4 linked regions of the Tribolium castaneum genome follow. The protein of the gene in region 4 binds, or shares a complex with, the protein of the main gene of each other region. Links are inferred from orthologs where the notes say so. Each region holds a gene or a part of one and is shown on either strand. Other genes may lie near its edges.

Region 1 (5,204 bases), on a different chromosome or scaffold from region 4:
TGGAAATTTTAATTTTTTAATGAATCCTACTGACTACACTGGTGTACAGAGGCGGTTGATGTTAAAATTCACACAGCAAGTTTTGTTTTTTGTTTTCGTTTTTATTGATAAAATAAATAATAATCTAAGTTATCAAAACCAAATAATGTGGGTATTATTAACATGAAGATATTAACAAAAATACACTAGTGCATAACCATATCACCACCTACATTTTTTTGAAATCTTAGTACTTTTAATAAAATTATTATTATTTTTGCTGTTCCCAAATGCTTGAGCACACTTATAAACCAAAAGTGTAAAAATTAAATTTTGCACAACAGAAGAAATAATAAATAATAATAAATAATAATGTAATTTTTCGAGGGTTTTAGTACTTTTTTCAGCCAAAAAAAAACTCACTTATTTCGCATAAATTCCCTAAAAGAAGTTAATAACACGCCCAAAAAAAAATTACAATATCATGTCGAAAGGGCCTTCCATGGTCGAAAGTTACGCTATTTTCAGCTAAAAACTCGTTCTACAATATTTCCTCTAATACGGCGAAAAGTTTCAAATGACAAAAAAGCTTGAATCGACTTTCTATAACTATTTACTTTATGGAAAAAAATAGAATTTAGAATATGATCATCACCTACCAAATCTGTTAAAATTGTGGATAATTTTTAAAGAATAAAATTTTCCTTTTAGTTTTCTAGTTATGCGAAACCGTATTTATTTGTTTTTAAAGGTAGGACGATTTTTTTGGTTAAAGATTAAAAATTACTTTTAATCCAATAATGTTTTCAAACCAGTGTTTTGCGAAGGTTTTACTCTGAACTTAACCATTAAAAAAATAAATAAATAAAATTTTGCATCACTCGAAAACAAAAGAAATTTCGAAAAATTTTATTCAACAATAATTATCACATTATTAATATACGTTCAATGATTTTTTGTTAAGTAACATAGTTTATTAGAATCTTAGGTAAAGTAGGACAATGTCGAGTTAATTTCGAGTTAAAAAGAAACTTCAGATTAAAGCCAAAAAAAAAACAACTTCGAAATAACCTCTGTTAAGTTAACTTAGAATTTTTGTAACTCAGACCTAAGGTAGTAATTCAAAGAACCGTCATTATTTAACTAATATTAAGTCGAGCATTAAGTTTAGGTAAATTCAGAGTTATTTGACTCTAAAGATAACTCACTATTGAAAATATAACAGGTCTATTGCTAACTTTTTCGAATGCCACTCGAAATTCGGCCGCTTCTTTTTTCTTAGTAATACTTTTTTATTAGGTGTACATTTTTGAAAATAATTGGAACGAATTGGAATAACATGGAATTGTTTTTGTGAATCTACATACACCATTGGCGCTAATACGTAGGGACCAAAAAAAAAACTTTACCATAACATTTGTGGGGTCCAGGAGACTGGCTTGCTGGAAGCAGACATAGGCCTCATCAAACGAATTCTGCGCCACAGCGAGCAACCCCCGATCCACATACTCCCTCAAATCCGTCGTGTTACCCCTCAAAGCCCTTGCTTCATCAAAACAAGTCTCCGCCCCTGCCACGTCGCCCACTTGCAGTCTCAACCTTCCTAACGCCGAATACAACATATGACGTGCCGTCCCATCCCTTAAACCCACCATTAGAAACTTTCTTCCCTCGCCTATTTTTCACCTGTGACACAACTCTTCCATCATCACCATTGCCAATTCATAATCTTTCAAGGCCAGGGCACAATTAACAATAGAGTGCATGACTCGAGTCTCGCGCCCCGTCCAAAGTCGAATCGAATCGGTGCGATCCGACTCACTAATTTCGATAGGGCTGCCGTCCTCGCTCAAGCCCTGTTTCAAGTTATCCAACATTTGTTTTATCGTGGACTTCATACTGTACAGCTTTGTTAACGAGTCTTTGGGTTTACCGCAATGCATTGGCAGTTCGCTTAAGAGTAAACGAAATGAAAATGAAGCGATGGAGCCTGGACGGCCCCCATACATCTCGGGGTAAAACTGTAAAATTGCGGTAAGTGGTCGAAGGTGATTTGTGGCTAGAGACCTGGTAGAAAACGTCCGGCTTGTCGAGCTGACCAAAAGGGGCAGCTTCCGATTGAGCAACTGCAAAGGCTTTGATTTTGACTAGAAGGGCGATACGAGTGAACCACAGCTGTAACGAATGGGGCGAATGTTTGCTAGGATGGCCCGCGCGGCCCCGACCCTGGCCGTAAATGGTTAAAAGTCTCGCAGTTAAATTAATTGCGGCTCGGTATGAACCCGCTTGTACTAACTCTCTCAGTCCCCTTTCGTCCTGCGTTACGTCGCTTTCGGACAAGATACTTCGTTGCGCGGCTTCGGCCTCCCCAAGACACAAGGTGACTGCTTCCCCGATATTGTCCCCCTTTTTAAATAAGTTTAATTTTCCCCCTTTGACTATTTAGCAAACATACCAAATCCTCTTCTAGCAGGACCCCAGGCATGGTGAGGAGCTCCCTGTCTGGAAAATACGTACCGGGGGCTGCCGTGGCGCACGCAATGAGACATTGTCTGGTCCTCTCGCTAGGTATCCAGGCATCTCTCCTGCGGTCTGCTTCCGAGCCTAGTGCCACTCTGGGGCAAAAACCGTCCTAGAAAAATTTACCAAACTGTGGAACACACAATTAGGTCACTCACGTCGTTGTTTGGCGTTATGTCGAGGTTTGATATCAAGCCGTTGGAGGTAACGCTGTGGTTGTTTCCAATTAAATCGAAGAATGACGTCGTCTGATCTTTGGCTTGTGGTGGCGTTTCGGCGAATATTCGACACACTTCTGGTTCGTTTTTCTTAGCACTTGGGAGATTGTCATCTAGTTTAAGATCGGTTATTTTTGTGGAAGCTTCATTTAGTTCTTCGGATAGGTCTATTGTCTTTACTTTATCGTCGGTTTTTTCGCCGAAGTATTGACTCAAGGACGGGGGCACGCTTTCCGACATGTCTAGCAATTATTCACTAAATACCTCGATCTTTACACGAACTTATAATAAATAAATACGACGAAAGTCTGTTTACGTTCGTTTATTGACATTTGCGAGTGACTTTTTTATTAGTGACATTGACATCCACTGTAGCCAATCGTAGAAAAACTTGAAATGGGTTTATGGCGCGAATTTCTATTTCTATTATTAACACCAACGTCGCATTTTCCCTCGAAATTAACTGTTCTAAATTATTCATGCCCTTCAAAAAATTAATAGCTAATGTAATTTATACAATCTGTCTATAAATGAATGTAGGATCGTAGTAGGTTTCAGAAGTTTGCCGTTTTGTTCAAGAAAAAACGAACAATGTTAGTTTTACTGGTACTTTTCAGAAATTTGATAGTAATAAAATAATTAAATGCGGCAAATTTAAATTACAGAACCACCTGAGAGCCAACACTCTTTTATAAACAGTCCGTAGTTTCAATGAGGGATCTAATCTTTAATAACTATTTTACATTTTTATACAGCTTAATTAAAAAGCAACGTCACATTTTACCGAATTATCTTTTTACATAAGACTGATAAAACTGTAAAATAGTTATGAATGCTAAGATCTCTCATTGAAAGAAGAAATTGTATTAGCTATTTATTAGCTTTGTTCGCGGAGGATTTTTAGAACTAATTCTGAAGTAGTCCAGGATTTATTTACAGCGCATGTGCGGTTCTGAACCAGTTATGGATTTTAGTCAACCGCAAACGATAATTTATCGTTGTCAAGTACACAACAAATGTTTAAAAACTAACAAGCTACAAAAATTTGAACAAAGTTAGAAATGAGTTATTCGAAAAACCTAAAACGAAAAGGTATAAATTGTAGAAAACAACCCATTTTCAAATTTACAAACATTATTTTATATACAAATAATTACGATTTAGTAAAGTATTAACTAAATTCCGGTAATCAAAACAGACAGTTTATTTATATTGATTCCAATCTCAAAAATATTCAAAGACATGAGAGTAACAGAGACAAAACCGCTTTCAACTGCGCACGTCTAGAACTAAAAATCCTTCGTCGAGTCCCAGGATCGTTGGGACTAATTCTGAACCGATCCGGGATTCAGCGTACTAGAGCTGGAACTAGTTCAGGATCGCTACCGCGAACAAAGCTGTTATTTTTTTGAAATGCATGAATAATATAACAGCTAATTTTGAGAGAGAATGCGACGTTGGCGTTTTTATATTTTTGAAACAGCTAACAACTGTAGTTTCAAATGTAAATAATATGACAAAATCCAAATAAAAAAATGACTTTATTAATACGTAACAATCACTATCAAGTAGAAACTTATAAATACGATAAATTATTCTTGAAAGGCAAATCCATGACTGTAATTACTTGTTGAAATATTTAAATAGCTAATCCATATACTGATACAATGCAGAACATGGTCTTGTTCTCCCAACGCACGGTGCAGCTCCCATCCGTGTTATTATCCCAATAGCACGAACTAGCGGTGTGCAAACCGGCCCCGTTCTTCTGCATTATGGTACAGGTCACGATGTACTTGTATGGTTTCATCAATTTCGTCAATTCTGATGTGCAACATTCCACGACCGAAGTCGTCCAGTCATTGACTTTATTTTGGGAATATGCGTTGCCTCCTATCACAGTTTCTATCGCGTCTTTAATGATCTTACTCACATCGTCGACCACGAACTGGCCCTCCTCTTGCAGATCTTGGTCCAACACTTCTTGATTCGTTTTCTCCATGATACTAAAATTCTTCAAGTTAATTCTTGGAAAATACACTGTATGGTTTGTAATCTCACTGATATTTCGCCTCAAGCGGCGCAGGAATGACAACAAACTCACCCCTTTCAAAAGAGGAAACGTCAAAAGTGACAAGGCGTGGTAATACCAACCTAACAAAACGTCACCGATATCATAAAAAAATTTCTATTAATCACGCAACGAAATTTTTTATATAAAACTGTCTCATAAATAAATGTTGAAATAAAATCAATATCCAGTTGCTGGAATTTATACATTATCTACCAAACATTTAGATAAACACTATTACCAACCAATGCGACAAAAACACTAAACGTTCCAGAATTTTATTAAAACATTAATAAAACAAAAGCACTTAAATTGTAGTAGTAATTAAATCTTTAATTAAATATACTTAATAAAATGAACCACAATTACAGATTTAGTTCCCGTTAAGGACATGGCCTCGGCCCCAGTTATGCCCC
Region 2 (4,669 bases), on a different chromosome or scaffold from region 4:
AATCTTGATGGCGAACCACTCGCCTAAAAGCGCCGGAATTGCATATTCGAGCCCGATTTCCAGCTTGGAATGTCTCGGGATGATTAAAGTGGCGGTTCGGGGCGAGATATTGTCGAAGTTGAGTTTGTGGGGACTGTATTTGAAGTGCAAAAGTTCGGGACAGACGCGGTTTGGGCCGTTTTGCGGACTGAATTTGAGATCCAAATTCGTCTCGCTCGCGTTGCCCATCACTAAATTAATTGCGCCAATCTAGAAATTAAATTAAGTTGGCAACACCCAATGTTGCCAATTCAAATTTGGACTTTGAAGCTTTTTTCCCAAGTAACAATTTAAGTTTTATGATAGTCTGGAAGAGTGCTATAAGAATAGTTTCTAAAACTATTTAGAATGATAGGAAAAATGAAAAAAGGCCCACTCTTCAGGAGGTTGTCAAGTCTAGTCTTTAAAAACTTTATAAAACTAATTTGTTTTTTTTAAATAGTTTTAAAATGGTTTTAAGACATGCTCAAAGTGTCTTATAAAACCTGGTGTTAGAGCATTGGGATTGAAAAGGGTTTTATTGCAGGAATAAAGATAAAAGTTTAGATAACTCGTTTTTAAAATTTATGTTTCAATACTGTTATAAGAAATTATTTCTCGGAGCACAAGACTGTATTTATTTTTACGTATTTATTATATTTGTCTTTTATCCCTTTTAAAAACTATTAAAACACGATATCGAGGTAGAAAATTTAGAAACGACGGCCAGCTTTTGATGGAATTTATTAAGGAACTTGTAAAATTTTAACGCCCTTCATAAATACCGAAAATATACACATTTGTAAAAACATTATTTTATAGATATAAAAAATCTGCGTTAATTCTTTAAACTGATTTTTAAAGTGATAACAACTAAGTTTTACTGCTGAGAAAAGAAAAAAAAACAAAAATTATCACAATTTCTTCAAGGTTTAGAAAGTGCGTATTTTTTAATTTTAACTCTAACAGCAGTAAAATATGACTACTAAACGTATAAAACTATATCTTCTATATAAAATTACTTATAAAAAAATTACTCTCAATAAAAGCCAATAAAAACCACTATAAGACAACTTAGACTACAGATAAAGTGCTTTAATTTAATAAAGACTATAAATATTTAGATAAAACATAAAGTGCCATACAGAACCTTTTTAAAACCATTTAGTTTCAAGATGGTTTTATAAGGTAGTATTTAGTTAAATATTTCCCGACAGAAATTATAACTGTGTTCAACGTAGAGTTGGTTTAATTTTCAATTAAATGCTGAGATAATTAATCCATATTTACTTAATTTTGCAGCCCCTGCCTTATAAAATTTTTTTCTTCAAAAAAAATTGGTTCATTCCGAAAATAAGGAAAAATTCACAAACTCTAAGAAAAGACAATTTTTATTGACAGAGGGACTTTTTTTGTTGTACTCATGTACAACTATTAAAAAATTCTAACATCAAACAAATTCTATAAATGTTCGTGCGTTGGAGCCAGCTAAAGACAAGTCAGTAAATATGTATCTGTTTTTAACTTCATTCTTTCGTCGGTTGATTTTCTCTAGAATTTAGTAAATATTTTTTACTTATTTTCATTAGTCTATTTTTGAATAAAATAGAAATTCCAGTTCTACGAATAGTAAAAGTTCCGTAAAAATGCAAGATAGTTCTGAAAACTAAATTAAAAAAAAAAGTTCTTTGTAATGTCACCAAACATGCATCAGATTGTTTAATGTTTCTTTTACCAAGATATCTATTAAAAAATCACCTTATATTTATTTAAAAAAAAATTATTTCAAAAAAAAAAACGTAGCCATTTTTACAACTTTTTTCTATAATAAAGACATTTTTCTGTGCTGTGTACTAATTAGGTTTTTTCTACAATTACTCATCGTGAATTTTCTACTATAACATGAACTGAAACTAAAAATACACTGCTTCTTAAAACTCATTAACTAAACAATAAATAATTAAAGGTAAAAAAATACGACGAAAACTAAAAATGTGATCAATTTATTTAAAAAAAATGCAACCCATCTTCTACTAGATATTTTTTAAATCAAAATCAAAATATTTTTACCGTCTCAGGCTATAGCCTATTTAGCCGTTAGAGCAACCGTTATTTGCCAGAGAATGCCTTTTAACTAATACACGAAACAACGCAGCTCTCAATACTACAGTGAGTGTGTATGAAGCAAATATGTATTTTCTTACAACAAATTATTTATTTATTTATTTTATTTCATTTATTGACCAAATAAGATTGTCTGAGAATAAAAAGTTTTAAAGACGACTACCACCTGGCAATTATAAGAGTATTATAAAACTTTTGTTAAAACTATCTTAGGAATTATGACCTGACCTGACCTGACCAGTTAAGATTGTCTGGAAGTAAAAAGTTTTAAAGACGACTCCAAGGCAATTACAATTAAATAACTGTGATAAATCTCAAGCTGTATAATGTTAAATTGGTTTTATCATTTAGTTTGTGATCTGTAGGAGCTGTTTTACAGCAACTACCTTCACAAACAGCATTTAAATTGTTACTTGGGCTGGCAAAGTCACCAACTCACTTGGATCTCGCTGTTGACGTCGTTCGAGTCGGGTACAAAATCAATAACGAATCGTTTCGTCTCATCCGAGCCGAACTCCAAAGAATTCGAACTCAAATTCTGATTATCAACGGCATATTCGCAATTATACGACGGAGTATTGATCGTGACTGAGACTTTTGTGAAAGTTAGAGGCAGGGGGCTCGAGCATCTTAAACGAATTTATCAAAATTGTAATTTTTACGTTACAATTCAAGTACTTGATATAGACTTCAACCGTAACGTTTTGATCGACTTCGTATTTCGCTTGCATGAAAGTTGCCTTAGTTTCAATGCAAGTCGAGACATTTCCCAAATCGAGCGAGAGGTGAATCGGCTCGGTTTGCAGCTTTGGCTGCCACTGAATTACGGCGTGTTGTAACACATCGGGGGTTAGTTTCTGGTCCCCGAAAGGAATCTGTCTCTAAATTTTTCGTGGAATCGATACTTTTCGTTGCCTCCTTACCTTCAAAATCCTTTGGAGATTCTCATGGATGCGCTTTTTCTGCTCAACGCTCAGCTTACTGTATTTCCCCAAAATTTCAAGACTCAGTAGGACGTAGTCCTGGACGCTTGCCGTCAAATAAGCGCATCTGATTGCCTTCTCTAAAATATCCGTCAAGAGCAGCCACCAGTTTTCCGCCCGAAAATCCCACAGCATGTGGGTAAGGAGACTAATAATAACTGTGTAAATAGAAATCCGTCACTTATGGCAAATATTTACGTCAATGCTTTGCCGAAATCGTGAGAGTTGTAATATTCCTCGGCCATTTGCAGCACCAAGTGGCGCCTCGTCCGAGGGCATCTGTACGTCTTGTATTGCGAAATGGCCAAGCCATAGAGCGAAACGATTGCGTTCTGTTGAAACAAAAATTGTAAATAATGATCGGGGGATTTTGCCACGTACAGAGTGCGCAAATTGCTTTTCCAAATACTGAATTGCCTGGATTCCGTTCGATTCCAGTTGCGGGTCGGGAGGCTCGGCCGATAATTTTCCGGGCCTCCAGGGCCTCTGCCCGTAAAATTCCATACTGTTTGCCCCTTCTAAGGGGTGCGGTTGGGGCAGCGCTATGATGTTCTACAATTGGAGATTCGTTTATTTTAAGCGAAAATATATGGCTTTTGTAGTCGCTTCCTGCGATTTTATGTACTGATAATATTTACATAAACGATAAACTGTGTCAGTAAATGGAAGTCGTAAGTTTGGTTTTGTATGGTTGCCTCCGGAAGCAAAAATTCAACACGCCCACAAAAACTTCAAATAATAATCAATTACAGTGCGATATATTTTAGTTCAAACAGAGAGTTTCGTTTATTTTTGTAGCAATTCGTTATAAGGCTGATGAGTTATGGAGTTGAAAAAGTGTAAACTGGCGGTTCCTTAAACAATAGAATTTGCATTTTGAGCCGGATTTAAAAAAATCACTACAATATTTTTTATAATTAAAACAAACTTTACATCTTTACGCATTTTTTTTCAATAATTCAAATTCGACGAAAGATTGGTTTTGTACTTTTTTCGAGTGTTTGAGTGCAAAAAACCTTATTTGTTATAATTCTGTCAACTTAGATCCTTCATTTTTTATGCGGGGTTATTCTTTGAAAACGGCAAGGGCTTCACAATTTTTACTTATGGCCCCATTTCAGAAATTAAATGAATTATTTTAATTACTTCACATGTGTGGTGAAAAAATTTTCGGAATATTATCTTTTATTCCCTGCTTTTTGACGAACGTCATTGTGTTATTTGATACCGTACAACTAGAATTTATTAACTTTTATTCATTTTCTTCAAATCTGATAAGTTTTTTAAGCAATATTTTTTTGTACAAGTAGAACTTACCACTCGTATTTGTACCAAAAAACTGTTATCTTCCATTTTATGAAAAGAAAAATGTAGGTTCCAATTTAAAAAATAGCCCAAAATACACTATAATATTTAGAAAAAATGTAAAAGTATTAGATCATACTACATTAGAAGCCACTTCATTATTTTTAATTTTTGAAATCGGAACTATAAATAAAAATTCTACAGCCGATTTTTTAGTCACCCTGTATTAAACAAAAATT
Region 3 (5,317 bases), on a different chromosome or scaffold from region 4:
TTTATCGTCACTTCTACAATTGATAAAGTTAATTTTTGTATTTATTTTTTATTTAAAATGTACCCCATAATAACGGCGACATTCTCACTTCATCAAGCATATCATTGGTCAAGGTGAGACCTTTGAGGGAGGCTTTGCCTCTGGTGTCGGTGCCAAGCAGGTGCCACCTCAAGTCGACAAGATTGGCGATGTGTTCCGAACAAATCCGATCCAATTCGCCAGTTGCGAGGGTTTCCCCGGTTTCGAGCTTCGATAAAGGGCACCGCTTTACCGGCACAGGCACTCTGCAACTTTCGTGCCCTTCTATGAGCATTGTCTTGGACGGGGTGTACTGTAATTCCATTTCTTGCGACGTCAAGTTGGCCACATCCAAGACTAAATAAAACTGAGTGTTCCTACAAAAGAAAAAAATAACAAGGGCCTGATTCAAGTGGAGTCACTCACGTCTCAGCCGGTAATACATCCCAGTTGGTAACATGCAGCGAGGGCACCGTCTCAATCGTCAAAAAAACCGAACAACACCGACAATACGACGCTTGCAAGCCTGGCCCCCCACTGTACCGTATCTGCAACTGTCCCTCAACAACGGACGATGCTTGCTGGTTTATGGGCAAGTGGGGGATTTGTAAAGTGGCGCTCATGCTCGAATGGCCCGAATTCGAGGACCGAAAGCTCGAATTAACATTTCTGTGAAAACTGCTACTAGTTGGTGAATTCAGTCGCGAGGGTAACGAGCCCGGGCCTGAAATACTGCTACTGAAAACGCCACTGCTGAATTCATTTCCTGTGCCTCCCGGGACGAGAAAACTCCCAGCGGCGTACAAATACAACGTCAGACTAGCCGAACAATTCGGTTTTAGGGGCAATTGACTTAGGAGGTTCTCCTGCGACCAAGTGAACATCTGTTCTTGGAGGGCCGGTTCCAGGACCGTCTGCATCGAAACTTCGAGCATCTCCACGTCAACATGCCCGATATTTGTGATGGTGACTGTGCATTCGGCGCTTTCGCCGTGGTGGAGACTCACACTGGCTGAGGTTACGACGTTTTCGTAGTCGTGGAATGAGGAGAAGGAGGCGCTTTGAGGGAGCGATGTTTTCACCTCGAGTAAGGGAAGGGATGGGACGATTTCGACCTCGTAATGGGGTGGAAACCCGTTCATGTGTCTCAACCGACAGTTGGATTTGACGCCAAGGGTGTGCGTGCTGTAGCCTTGGAGTTGGAGCTGGCCTTCGCTTTCGCGCGGCGTGCCATGGAGGGTCGTAACAGATGGGGGAGCCCCCGACGGTGATAAAACCACAGTTTCGGGGAGTGACTCAAACACGACACCTGATGTCAACAAACGCATGTCCGAAACCTTCAACTCGAAGGGCAGGGGGTTGGACAGCTTGAGGGTGACTTCGCAAGGCTCGTTCTCCACCCACAAAAATGCTACAATTTTTTTTAATCAAGCAATCGTGTGTATCAAATTCCCTACCCATTTTAGTTTGACTCGCTGTGCTCCTCCGATCCAAACTCCCAAAATGAATTGGAGTGAACAAAAACGGCCCCGTGTCCTGCTTTACAGCCTGTATTTTCCGCGGCTGTAAATGGGGCTGCAAGTTCCTCAAAACAAAAGAATGGCAAAGTGGAATATTGGTCAAGTTGGCCGGTGGTATAACAACGCCACTGTCCAACACCAAGGGCACCGGTGACCCTTCACATTGCGCCGATAAGGCCTAAAATAATCTTGATTATGTTATTCCCCTAAAAAAAACGTACTTGTAACTGTATCGCCAGTTCTTTCTGCTCAGTCGGCGTCAAATGCTGCCACATTGTTTGCAACAAAAACGTCATGTGGCGAGTCGCCAACGCCGAATGCCCCATTCTTTTCGCCGCCACCACCAGTTCTTGTAACAATTGAATTTGTAGAATTGGCCACCCTTGTTCAACCTCCCTCATTTCGGCCGGATCTAAAGATAGGCGATGGCCGGGAAGGCTGTGGAGCATGAGGTTATAGCAGCGGTTCCAATTGGGGGCGGGATTTTGGGGCGAGACGTATCTGGTGGCGGCGAGCCGTTGGCAGAAGGCGGCTTTACGCGTGAAACCAATTTGCGTATAAAGTTCGGCCAAGGTCTCAAAACGCTGGATTTTTTCCTGCTCTGAGAGCGTTAAATTGATGTAGACCACGTTTTGTAGAAACGAGGCGGCTTGAAGTGAGTGGTTTTGCTCAACAGCGATGCGGGCGGCCTTAAAACTCGCCTCAGTCTCGACTATCCCTAAATGAAACTTGGCAAGGTATGCAACCAACTATACACAACTCACCCGCATTTTGATACTTGCTGTAGTGAATAATCGCCTCCCGATACCTCTTCGAGATATCCTCGGGGGCTAGTGTGTTGGGCACGGAGGCTTTCTTCGCCCCCACGTCAAGATTACTCGCGACTACTGTTTTTTTCGGCGAGGAACCCTCTTGCAAACTGGCGTTACGTTGCAATTGCACACTTCGCTGCATCTCGGGGTACAAAACTAGAGCAGAAGCGGCACACAAACCCTCATAGGCGGCCCCCAGCCACAACCAATCGTTGACACTCTTCAACGTCTCGGCTGCATTGCCGTAATAAACCAGGCTTTCGGCCAGCAGCCCCGCTTGCAGACACAAATCGCCCAAGTGTTTGGTCATCCGGCCTGTGCATTTTTTCTTGTTGTTGCGCGACTCCATGTCGAGCCCCACGAAGTCCTTTTTCTCAAAGGGGGCGAGCAGGAGGGAGACCCGTTCGAGCTTTTCGCGCGAGCGTTCGAGTCGTTTGGACTCAAGCACCCAAAACAGCGAATTGATGAATTCGATTATTTGGGTTTCGAGGTCAGCACACGGGGCGCTCTCGTCGTAGAAGAGCCCCCGTGTCTTGAAGTTGCTAGGCGTTGTGAACTTCTCGATGTTCTCCTCGGGGGCGCTGCTGCTGCTGTCGGTGTTGGGGCTCGAGGTGTCTTCCGGCGAGCTGCTCGCCTCCTTCGTGGGGCCGAACAAAATGCAGCGCGAATCGAATAACGTGCCGGTGTATTTGACTTTGAGACTCTCGTGGACGCGGCATATTTCATTGAGCTCTTGCTGGGAGTCGTATTTTCCCAGAGAGACGAGACCTAAGAGTCGTCGGTGGGTTTGGAAGTCGCCCCAATCGTTGTTTTCAACGGGGTGTTCCTTCACATAACGGACTAGAATCGTGCGGACGTTTCCCGTCGAGTCGGTGATGCGGACTGAGGTGAGTTTGGCGATACGGTCGTGGAATTTTTGGAATGTTTTGGGCTTTAGTTGGGAGCCTATGTGTCGTACGAGCACCAGGAGAGCAGCGTGGTCATGGGAGTATTGTTCGTAGTCGGGGTGAGACATGTTTGGCTCGCTGGTACTACTCGAAAGGATGTAACTTACCGAAGAACGCATTTGTGAGGCCTGGGGATCACCTACATTTCAAACTTCGCCCCCCGAATAAAACGCACTCTTTGGCCGTAAATAATTACCTGATCATTGCTTTACGCCTCTGAGGGGCCTGTTCTTGCGCAAATCACTCTTTTTACACTTAAACTACGTTTAGGGTCAGCAATTTGACACTTCACGACATCAACATAACCTATGAGAGTAAGAGATAGTTTTATGCAGCCAAGTTCACACCAGGAAAATTATCAAAATAATCGTAAAAACATCAATAAGCTGTTACGCTGATTTGCATATCACATTGGTAGAACATCTCCTGACCATTCAAATGTGTTTCTATTACAAATTAAAACATGACTGTATTTAATTTCTGCATTTTTTATTCTCATGTTCAAGCAATGCAAACTGATTTTTTTCACCCCCTTTATATCCTGCAATTTTCTTTGTTTTTGCAGGAGATTAAGCCCTCCGATAGGGCCTTCGACTGTAAAAAAATCATGTTCGGACACCCGAACCCCTTGGGACCTTAATGAATTTTTAAAGATTCTTTAAGATTTCCCGATTTCGCAAACTGTATTTTTTTAACTGTAGCTGAAAGCGTAAAAAACGCCTAGATTGTGGTTAATTAACAAGGCAAGGGTCGGGTCAGGTCAGGCCAATAAAAACCGTTTCATAATACTTTATTAATCGAATACTCACTTTTAAACTTAATCTAAATGTAAAATATATCATTCTCCATACGCGACTTAATTAATAGTAACTAAAGGTTTGCTCATCAATTTCGCATTAGGTTTGTAGGATTTTTTAACCGCTGCCTTGTCCTCTCTCCTCCCCAAGGGAATAAGTCTCATGGCCTCCATCTGCAAGTTCAACGACCGATAAAAATCCAAAACATTTTTATTGGCCCAGACTTGCGAGGCCTTAAACCCTAAAACCCTCAGCGTGTCTAAACTTTGGGCCCTACTTAACGCAACATAAGCTTGACCGGCTTCAAACACCTTTCCTAGCGACATTTCAACACAATCTAACGTCAAACCTTGGGACTTGTGAATGGAAAAAGCCCACGCTAGTTTAAGGGGCACCTGTTTCCTCGTGAGCATAACACCGGTGGCGCTTTTGACGCACCAGCGCTCAGGCTTTGCGACATATTCTTTGCTACGGAATTGCACAACGGGAACACCTTCTTGGAAGGATTTGACGACTCCACGAGCGCCGTTCACGAGCCCCGTGGCGATGTTTATGTTTTTCAAAAGCATCACCTGCGCACCGACCTGCAAAAAAACAAACTTTGAATATTAAAAAACTGTGTTAATTATTTCCAAAAAAATCGTGAATAATGGATAAAAACCTTCAATTCGAGCGTGTGCGGGATGGAGGTTTGCTGATCCAACTGCTTGATAAGATGCGGGTGTGAGTCTTCGGACGTAAAGACGAGTTTTTCGCCCGGCAGTGCGTTAAGTTTCGCTTCGTTAATCGCGTTCGCTTCCAGCGTGTGCGAGCACAACCTCGTGGCCAAAATCCCGTTCTTTTCGATATTCTGTCGCGACGTTTCGGCCAATCTCGTCGCCATATCTTCAGGAATTTGTCCAATGCGCACACAATTCAAGATTTTGATAAACTCGTCGTCGTTTTGCCGGTGGACTTTTTTCAGTTCATACGCCGACAATCGGCACCGACTCCAGGCCTCCGTCTCGAAACAGAACTTGACTGGAGTTTTGCCTTTGGCCACCGGAGGCAATTGGAAAAAATCCCCGCACAAAATCAACTGAATCCCGCCGAAAGGCTGCTCATTCCGCCTGACTTTCCGGGCTATTGCCTCGATTTTCTCGAAATACGACCCGTCAACCATCGAAATCTCGTCGATGATCAGGTGCTTGCACTTGCGCCAGACCGTGTAAGCCCCCGGGCGC
Region 4 (5,122 bases):
TGGAATTCACGTCGGTTCGAATTATAACGTGTATCTCAGTAATAAATCAGAGACTCAAAGCCAACAACAACACTACATTGTCACAGAGGCCATCAGAGGCTTGTTCCACAGTGACGTGCCCGTTGATCGAAAAGACTTAATTTTTCTGTCCCCTCATATAAACGAACACTGGAGGACCATGGCAAGGGCGCTGGATTTCTCAGACGGACAAGTCAGCCAATTTTACGAAGACTACATCAGGTCTGGAGTTAAAGAAGTAGGTTCCTTGTTTTGCCAATCAAATACTAATTGACTCAATCCAGGTGATTTACCAGCTCTTACTGGACTGGATACAAAACGAAGCCGATTGTGCCACTGTTGGAAAACTCTCAAAAGTGTTGTGGGACACAAACCAGCAAGACGCCGTTCAAAGGTGGTCTGAGTATGTTATCAAAAATAAATCGTAGTTTTTGGTGCTTTTTATTGTTAGTTCAGTAATAATGGTTCTATTCTTCCAACCGCAATGTTTCTTATCATTGTTTATTTATTGTTATGGAAAGTTTTTCGTGACTTTTTATCATTCCGCATAAAAATTGTAATTTGAATCGTGTGATATCTTCAGGCCAGTGGCACTGGTTTAAATGGCGTAATCATGTGGCTAATTTTTCAAGTATTAAGCCATATATTTGTACTTTGTTAGAAATAAATCGTTTAAATCGCAATATTTTATTTAAAATTACAAAACCTAAGCTAATGAATACACACGTCCCTGAAATGTAATGTGCAGCGGCCTTTGAGGCCGGGAAATTAGATACCTAATTTGTGAATTAAAAAATACTAATAGTGAATTAAAGCGCAACTTTTAGTTCTCTCTCTGTGAAAATTTGTGCTTTGCACTTGGAGTATTCCTCCATGATACCTGATTTGTCCAAATTGGCGTCAATAATCAGGACAGGGGCCGGGCACTCAAATCTTTTCTGAAGCAACCACTCCTCATGCAAGTTGTGTATATCTTGGAAGTATTCAAGGGGCACATACTGCTCCTCAGGTCTGTTGCGTGCCAACATGCGCTGGTACGCCGTTTCTGGGGTCGTTTTCAAGTAAACTAAAATGGGGACTTACACAATGTCTCAATTTTTTCAAACTTACCAATAAGGTCAACCGATAAGTCGCAATTTTCTTTGGCCCATTTGAACCACTCGTCCATCACCGACACCGAGGCACGCTCAATGGACCCATTCCTGGCCATTTGCTCCACAAAGCAATGTCTAAATCAGTGAAATAATTACATAAAAAAACAACGCGAGAGTAATAACTACCTAGCACTGTAAATTGATCGTTCCATTAGTTTAATTGGGTGTCCCGTTTTCATGGTATGATGCTGCAGAATAGTCAACTGGACGTAAGATTGAAACGTAAAACTCCATTTTTTTGGGTCAGAGTACATTTTATCCTAATAAAACGCCAAGACTTTAAAATTTTAAAACCCCAATGAAAGGTGGTACTTACAAGTAAGTTGTACCCATTGCAGTTTCGCCACTTATTCACAGGTTCCGCGAGTACATTAACATCGTCGAATTGTTGGAAATAGTTTAAAAAAGTGGTTTTGCCACAGCCGATGTTACCCTCCACGATGACGGTGTAGGGGCGTAGGCTCGCAAATTGCTTCAAGGGGGAGCGTTTCAAGTAATCGGTGTTCATTTTGCCACGTTACACGACAAACAACGCAGTAAAAAGGCTAGGAGTAATGTTAAGGGCGGATAACAACCGGCATTACGTTTGTTTATCCACTTTCCCGCCTATTTCGAGCTAGGGGTTTTCGGTTTAGTCAGTTTAGTTGGCACCTGACATGCGCCAAAAATTTAAATTGGGGACAATTTTGCTGATTATTTTCATAAATTAGGCAACAATTACTTAGAATTCAAACGTTTAATCATTTCGTTAGTTGTCCGGTAATCGGTGTGACCCCAAAAAATGGTTTCTTTTTTATCGTCACCTGTCACACCTGTCAAACAGCTGATTTGCAGCTGATTGTAGTGTTGTTAATTTTCCGATTAACGCAAAACAGCCTTAAATGATTAGAAATCGGGTGTGTGACTAAATTTAAAATCAACCAAAGTACATTGTAGAGTTAATCGATGACTTGACAAAATTTTTAACCTCACACTCATGGCTCAGTGCAAGCAGACTCCGCAAGAATTTATAAAAAACGCCTTCACACCCCAAATTGCTGTTTTGTGCACCCCTCTCGCTGAAGGTTCTTGTCAGAAAAATAATTTGAATTTCATTGAGCTGCTCCAACCCTTTTCCAAATTGAGCAATGACGGTGGTTGCGTTCAAGTTTGGGAAAAAACCTCCCTAATTGATGTTTTTCAGTGCATTACAAAGATCCGGCCGGCACGGTTATAACAATAAGGAACCTCAAATTAACGTTTTTGGACGTGAATTCCCGACCTCCCCAAACCACTTTAGCTAGGAAATTTTTAAACTCTTCAGTGAGTGAATTGTCAGACTTCCGGACTGAGAATTTCACCACCAGCGATCACACCTTGAACATTACTTTAACAACGCCGTGGTTTGAGGCTTGGAGAGATACGTTTTTACGAGTTCAGTATCCCTCTGATCATGAATATACAAAGCATTTTTTATCGTGTGTTTTGGTTGTTTCTTCAGCTGAAATCAATGTCATTGAAAGTATTATTCAGCTGTCTCAGAGTCTGAATCAAATGCAGAATAACGCCCCTGGAAAGTTACCCAAGTGGTTTAGCTCAAATGTTTTAAAATACTATGTGATCATCCATGACAATGTTGAAGGAAATATTGATGTGTAAGTAATAATTTTTGTCATATAATTGTGAACAAATAGATTTTTTAGCGCAAATGAGGCGTACGAGTCAGTTAAAGGGTCATACGGGGAGGCGAATTGTTTTCTTTTGAGGATGAATTCACGGCCCCCAGGTGCCGCAAACACCGAGCATTTGCCGGACCCTTGGAGCCAATTCATTAGCTGTAATATTGAGTCCAGAGACTACAATCCAACCCCTGAGAGCTCACCCTACACTTCACGGGCGATTTTTGATACCAGTCAAGACTCTGATACAAAAACCAACTTAAATTACCACCCACTGAGCCCTGACACTGAGGATTTAATAATGGTAACACTTTTTGTGACCAAATACATTACTAAAATAAAAAATTAGAGCACTTCGGCAACTGAAAAAGACAAAACCGTATCAAACAACTCCAAATTAAAATCGCACGGTCTCTGCCTGTCGACTGAAGACGTCGAACAGGTGAAATTATTTTTACACGAGTTTACCAAAACCTGTCTGCTGCCTTACATCGAGAAACAAATCCACCAACTAAGCGACGTAATTTCGAACAAAAAAGGCGTCAGCAGGTCATTGTTCAGTGCGACAAAACGCTGGTTCAACCCCAATAAACCGGGCGCCAGTTCGGTTGCAGTGAATAATCTTATGTAAGTTTTATCTCCAAATATTTTTTTTCTGATGTGGGGTTTTAGCTACGCGCCTGATTCACCCGAATTGCAAGTGCGGCGACTTGGAGATCTTTATTTCATGTTTGGACATTATCTACTAGCGTTTCAAGCATATCATTTAGCTAAAAGGGACTACAACACGGATCAGGCCTGGCTGTACTACGCTGGGGCGCTCGAAATGGCCGCCTTGGCGGCTTTTATGGCGAATGAGTCGAGCAGAAAGACCTACGATTACATGGAGGAGAGCATAACCACTTACATGAACACCTGCAAGTAGGTTTCCCGTTTTGTTGCTGAATTTTCAGTCGTATTTTGCTAAATATACCGCCTTTGAAGTGCGCAACTTGAAGCTAAACAAGCACCAAATTCTATGACGTCTACAATTTTTCGTTATTTTTTTAGTGCTTGAAATGTTGTCTCATTGGAGATAAAAAAAATGCACCTACCTTTATGGCGTCTTCTTCTGCTACAGTTTATAGCAAGACATTGAAATTATAAAAAATACAAATAAAAACAAAATAAGTACAAGATACTAATACCACATATTCAACATCTCACTTGGGATAAAGAAAATGTACTTACCTTTATGGCATCTTCTTCTGCTACTGTTTGTAGCAAGACATTAAAAATAAATATAATTCAATATAATAAATATATATGAAAATAAAATCATTACCATTTATCAACATCTTACTTGGAGATTGACAATAAAATTAAAATGCACGACAACACCAAGTAACAAACTGAATAAAATTAAACGCCGCAACAATAATTGTGTAAACTAATAAAATACTAATAAAAACACTATCTGTGATATAAGATATAACTAATTTGCAGGCGGGAAACAAAGACGTTTGTTTGATTTAGTGATTTTTGTTACGACTTCGTCACTTAATTTTTTTGGGGGAAAATATACAAATATACAGGGGATGAGTTTTTAATGTCCAATCGCTGAAACTTATTTTATGAGCAAATAATTTGGCAAAATTTTTAAGTATACCTAACTTCGTTATTCTAATAAATACACAATTAATACAAAACCAGTTTTTAGGGAGAATTTAATAACATAGCCCTTAATTTTTCTCAATCCTTTGTTTAAGTGTAATAAGGCAAAAGTTTTTTATCATGTTCTTTTTCTTTAAATATTTTTCTATGTTTCAATTCCAGATTAACAATGTTCTAGTATATTTGTTAACGCATCTTTACAAAAACTTAATATGTAATAGTAGAAATAAATGAGCAAAGAATGAAATATACTGTATGTTCCGAATTTTCTGGACTGCGCAAAAATATATAAAATGGCAGCGAATGTAATACACCCTATTCATTCATATGTTTGTTTAGCTTTGAGTAACTTTCGGGTGACAACAATCTAATTTGAAATGTTTTTGTAGAGACGTTGAATTGGTAATTACATGGCACTTGACTGTATAATAATTCCGTTTGTTCTATCTTTTGACAGATTTTTTAATTCCGGTTTAGGATGCCTCAGTTTGCGACCCGAGCGACACTTTTAAGCTCCGAGTGTCTGAAAAGTAGGGGTTTGTTCGGCGAAGCGGCCCATCAATTGATACGAATGACGAGTGAAGAGTCGGATTTGAGATCGGCTCTTTTTCTGGAACAGGCCGCTTATTGTTTCCTGCA

The links.
Region 1: l(3)76BDm (region 4) and trafficking protein particle complex subunit 12 share a complex: the UniProt entries of both Homo sapiens proteins name them as parts of the multisubunit TRAPP (transport protein particle) complex. The link is inferred for Tribolium castaneum from reciprocal best matches to the Homo sapiens genes TRAPPC8 and TRAPPC12.
Region 2: l(3)76BDm (region 4) and gry share a complex: the UniProt entries of both Homo sapiens proteins name them as parts of the multisubunit TRAPP (transport protein particle) complex. The link is inferred for Tribolium castaneum from reciprocal best matches to the Homo sapiens genes TRAPPC8 and TRAPPC11.
Region 3: l(3)76BDm (region 4) and brun share a complex: the UniProt entries of both Homo sapiens proteins name them as parts of the multisubunit TRAPP (transport protein particle) complex. The link is inferred for Tribolium castaneum from reciprocal best matches to the Homo sapiens genes TRAPPC8 and TRAPPC9.

Annotation. Positions count from the first base shown.
Region 1 is NC_087396.1:17,553,955-17,559,158, forward strand, and holds the start of trafficking protein particle complex subunit 12, read right to left. Parts: upstream 3,096-5,204; 5' UTR 2,958-3,095; coding exon 2,658-2,957; intron 2,612-2,657; coding exon 2,435-2,611; intron 2,386-2,434; coding exon 2,047-2,385; intron 2,001-2,046; coding exon 1,666-2,000; intron 1,621-1,665; coding exon 1,389-1,620; intron 1-1,388. Other genes in the region: Dlc90F (dynein light chain Tctex-type), read right to left, coding at 4,357-4,719; Der-1 (derlin-1), read right to left, coding at 5,162-5,204. UniProt on the Homo sapiens protein: Component of the TRAPP complex, which is involved in endoplasmic reticulum to Golgi apparatus trafficking at a very early stage.
Region 2 is NC_087395.1:23,290,782-23,295,450, reverse strand, and holds part of gry (trafficking protein particle complex subunit 11), read right to left. Parts: intron 3,678-4,669; coding exon 3,507-3,677; intron 3,458-3,506; coding exon 3,324-3,457; intron 3,274-3,323; coding exon 3,066-3,273; intron 3,024-3,065; coding exon 2,821-3,023; intron 2,772-2,820; coding exon 2,582-2,771; intron 250-2,581; coding exon 1-249. UniProt on the Homo sapiens protein: Involved in endoplasmic reticulum to Golgi apparatus trafficking at a very early stage.
Region 3 is NC_087399.1:3,381,586-3,386,902, reverse strand, and holds the start of brun (protein brunelleschi), read right to left. Parts: upstream 3,646-5,317; 5' UTR 3,494-3,645; intron 3,449-3,493; 5' UTR 3,417-3,448; coding exon 2,303-3,416; intron 2,257-2,302; coding exon 1,760-2,256; intron 1,717-1,759; coding exon 1,476-1,716; intron 1,430-1,475; coding exon 445-1,429; intron 396-444; coding exon 64-395; intron 14-63; coding exon 1-13. Other genes in the region: ATP-dependent DNA helicase PIF1, read right to left, coding at 4,154-4,678, 4,756-5,317. UniProt on the Homo sapiens protein: Functions as an activator of NF-kappa-B through increased phosphorylation of the IKK complex. May function in neuronal cells differentiation. May play a role in vesicular transport from endoplasmic reticulum to Golgi.
Region 4 is NC_087403.1:6,196,576-6,201,697, reverse strand, and holds the start of l(3)76BDm (trafficking protein particle complex subunit 8), read left to right. Parts: upstream 1-1,977; 5' UTR 1,978-2,148; coding exon 2,149-2,305; intron 2,306-2,355; coding exon 2,356-2,806; intron 2,807-2,854; coding exon 2,855-3,134; intron 3,135-3,179; coding exon 3,180-3,457; intron 3,458-3,502; coding exon 3,503-3,751; intron 3,752-4,960; coding exon 4,961-5,122. Other genes in the region: imd (protein immune deficiency), read left to right, coding at 1-256, 303-446; deoxynucleoside kinase, read right to left, coding at 828-1,084, 1,129-1,247, 1,299-1,432, 1,489-1,680. UniProt on the Homo sapiens protein: Plays a role in endoplasmic reticulum to Golgi apparatus trafficking at a very early stage. Maintains together with TBC1D14 the cycling pool of ATG9 required for initiation of autophagy. Involved in collagen secretion.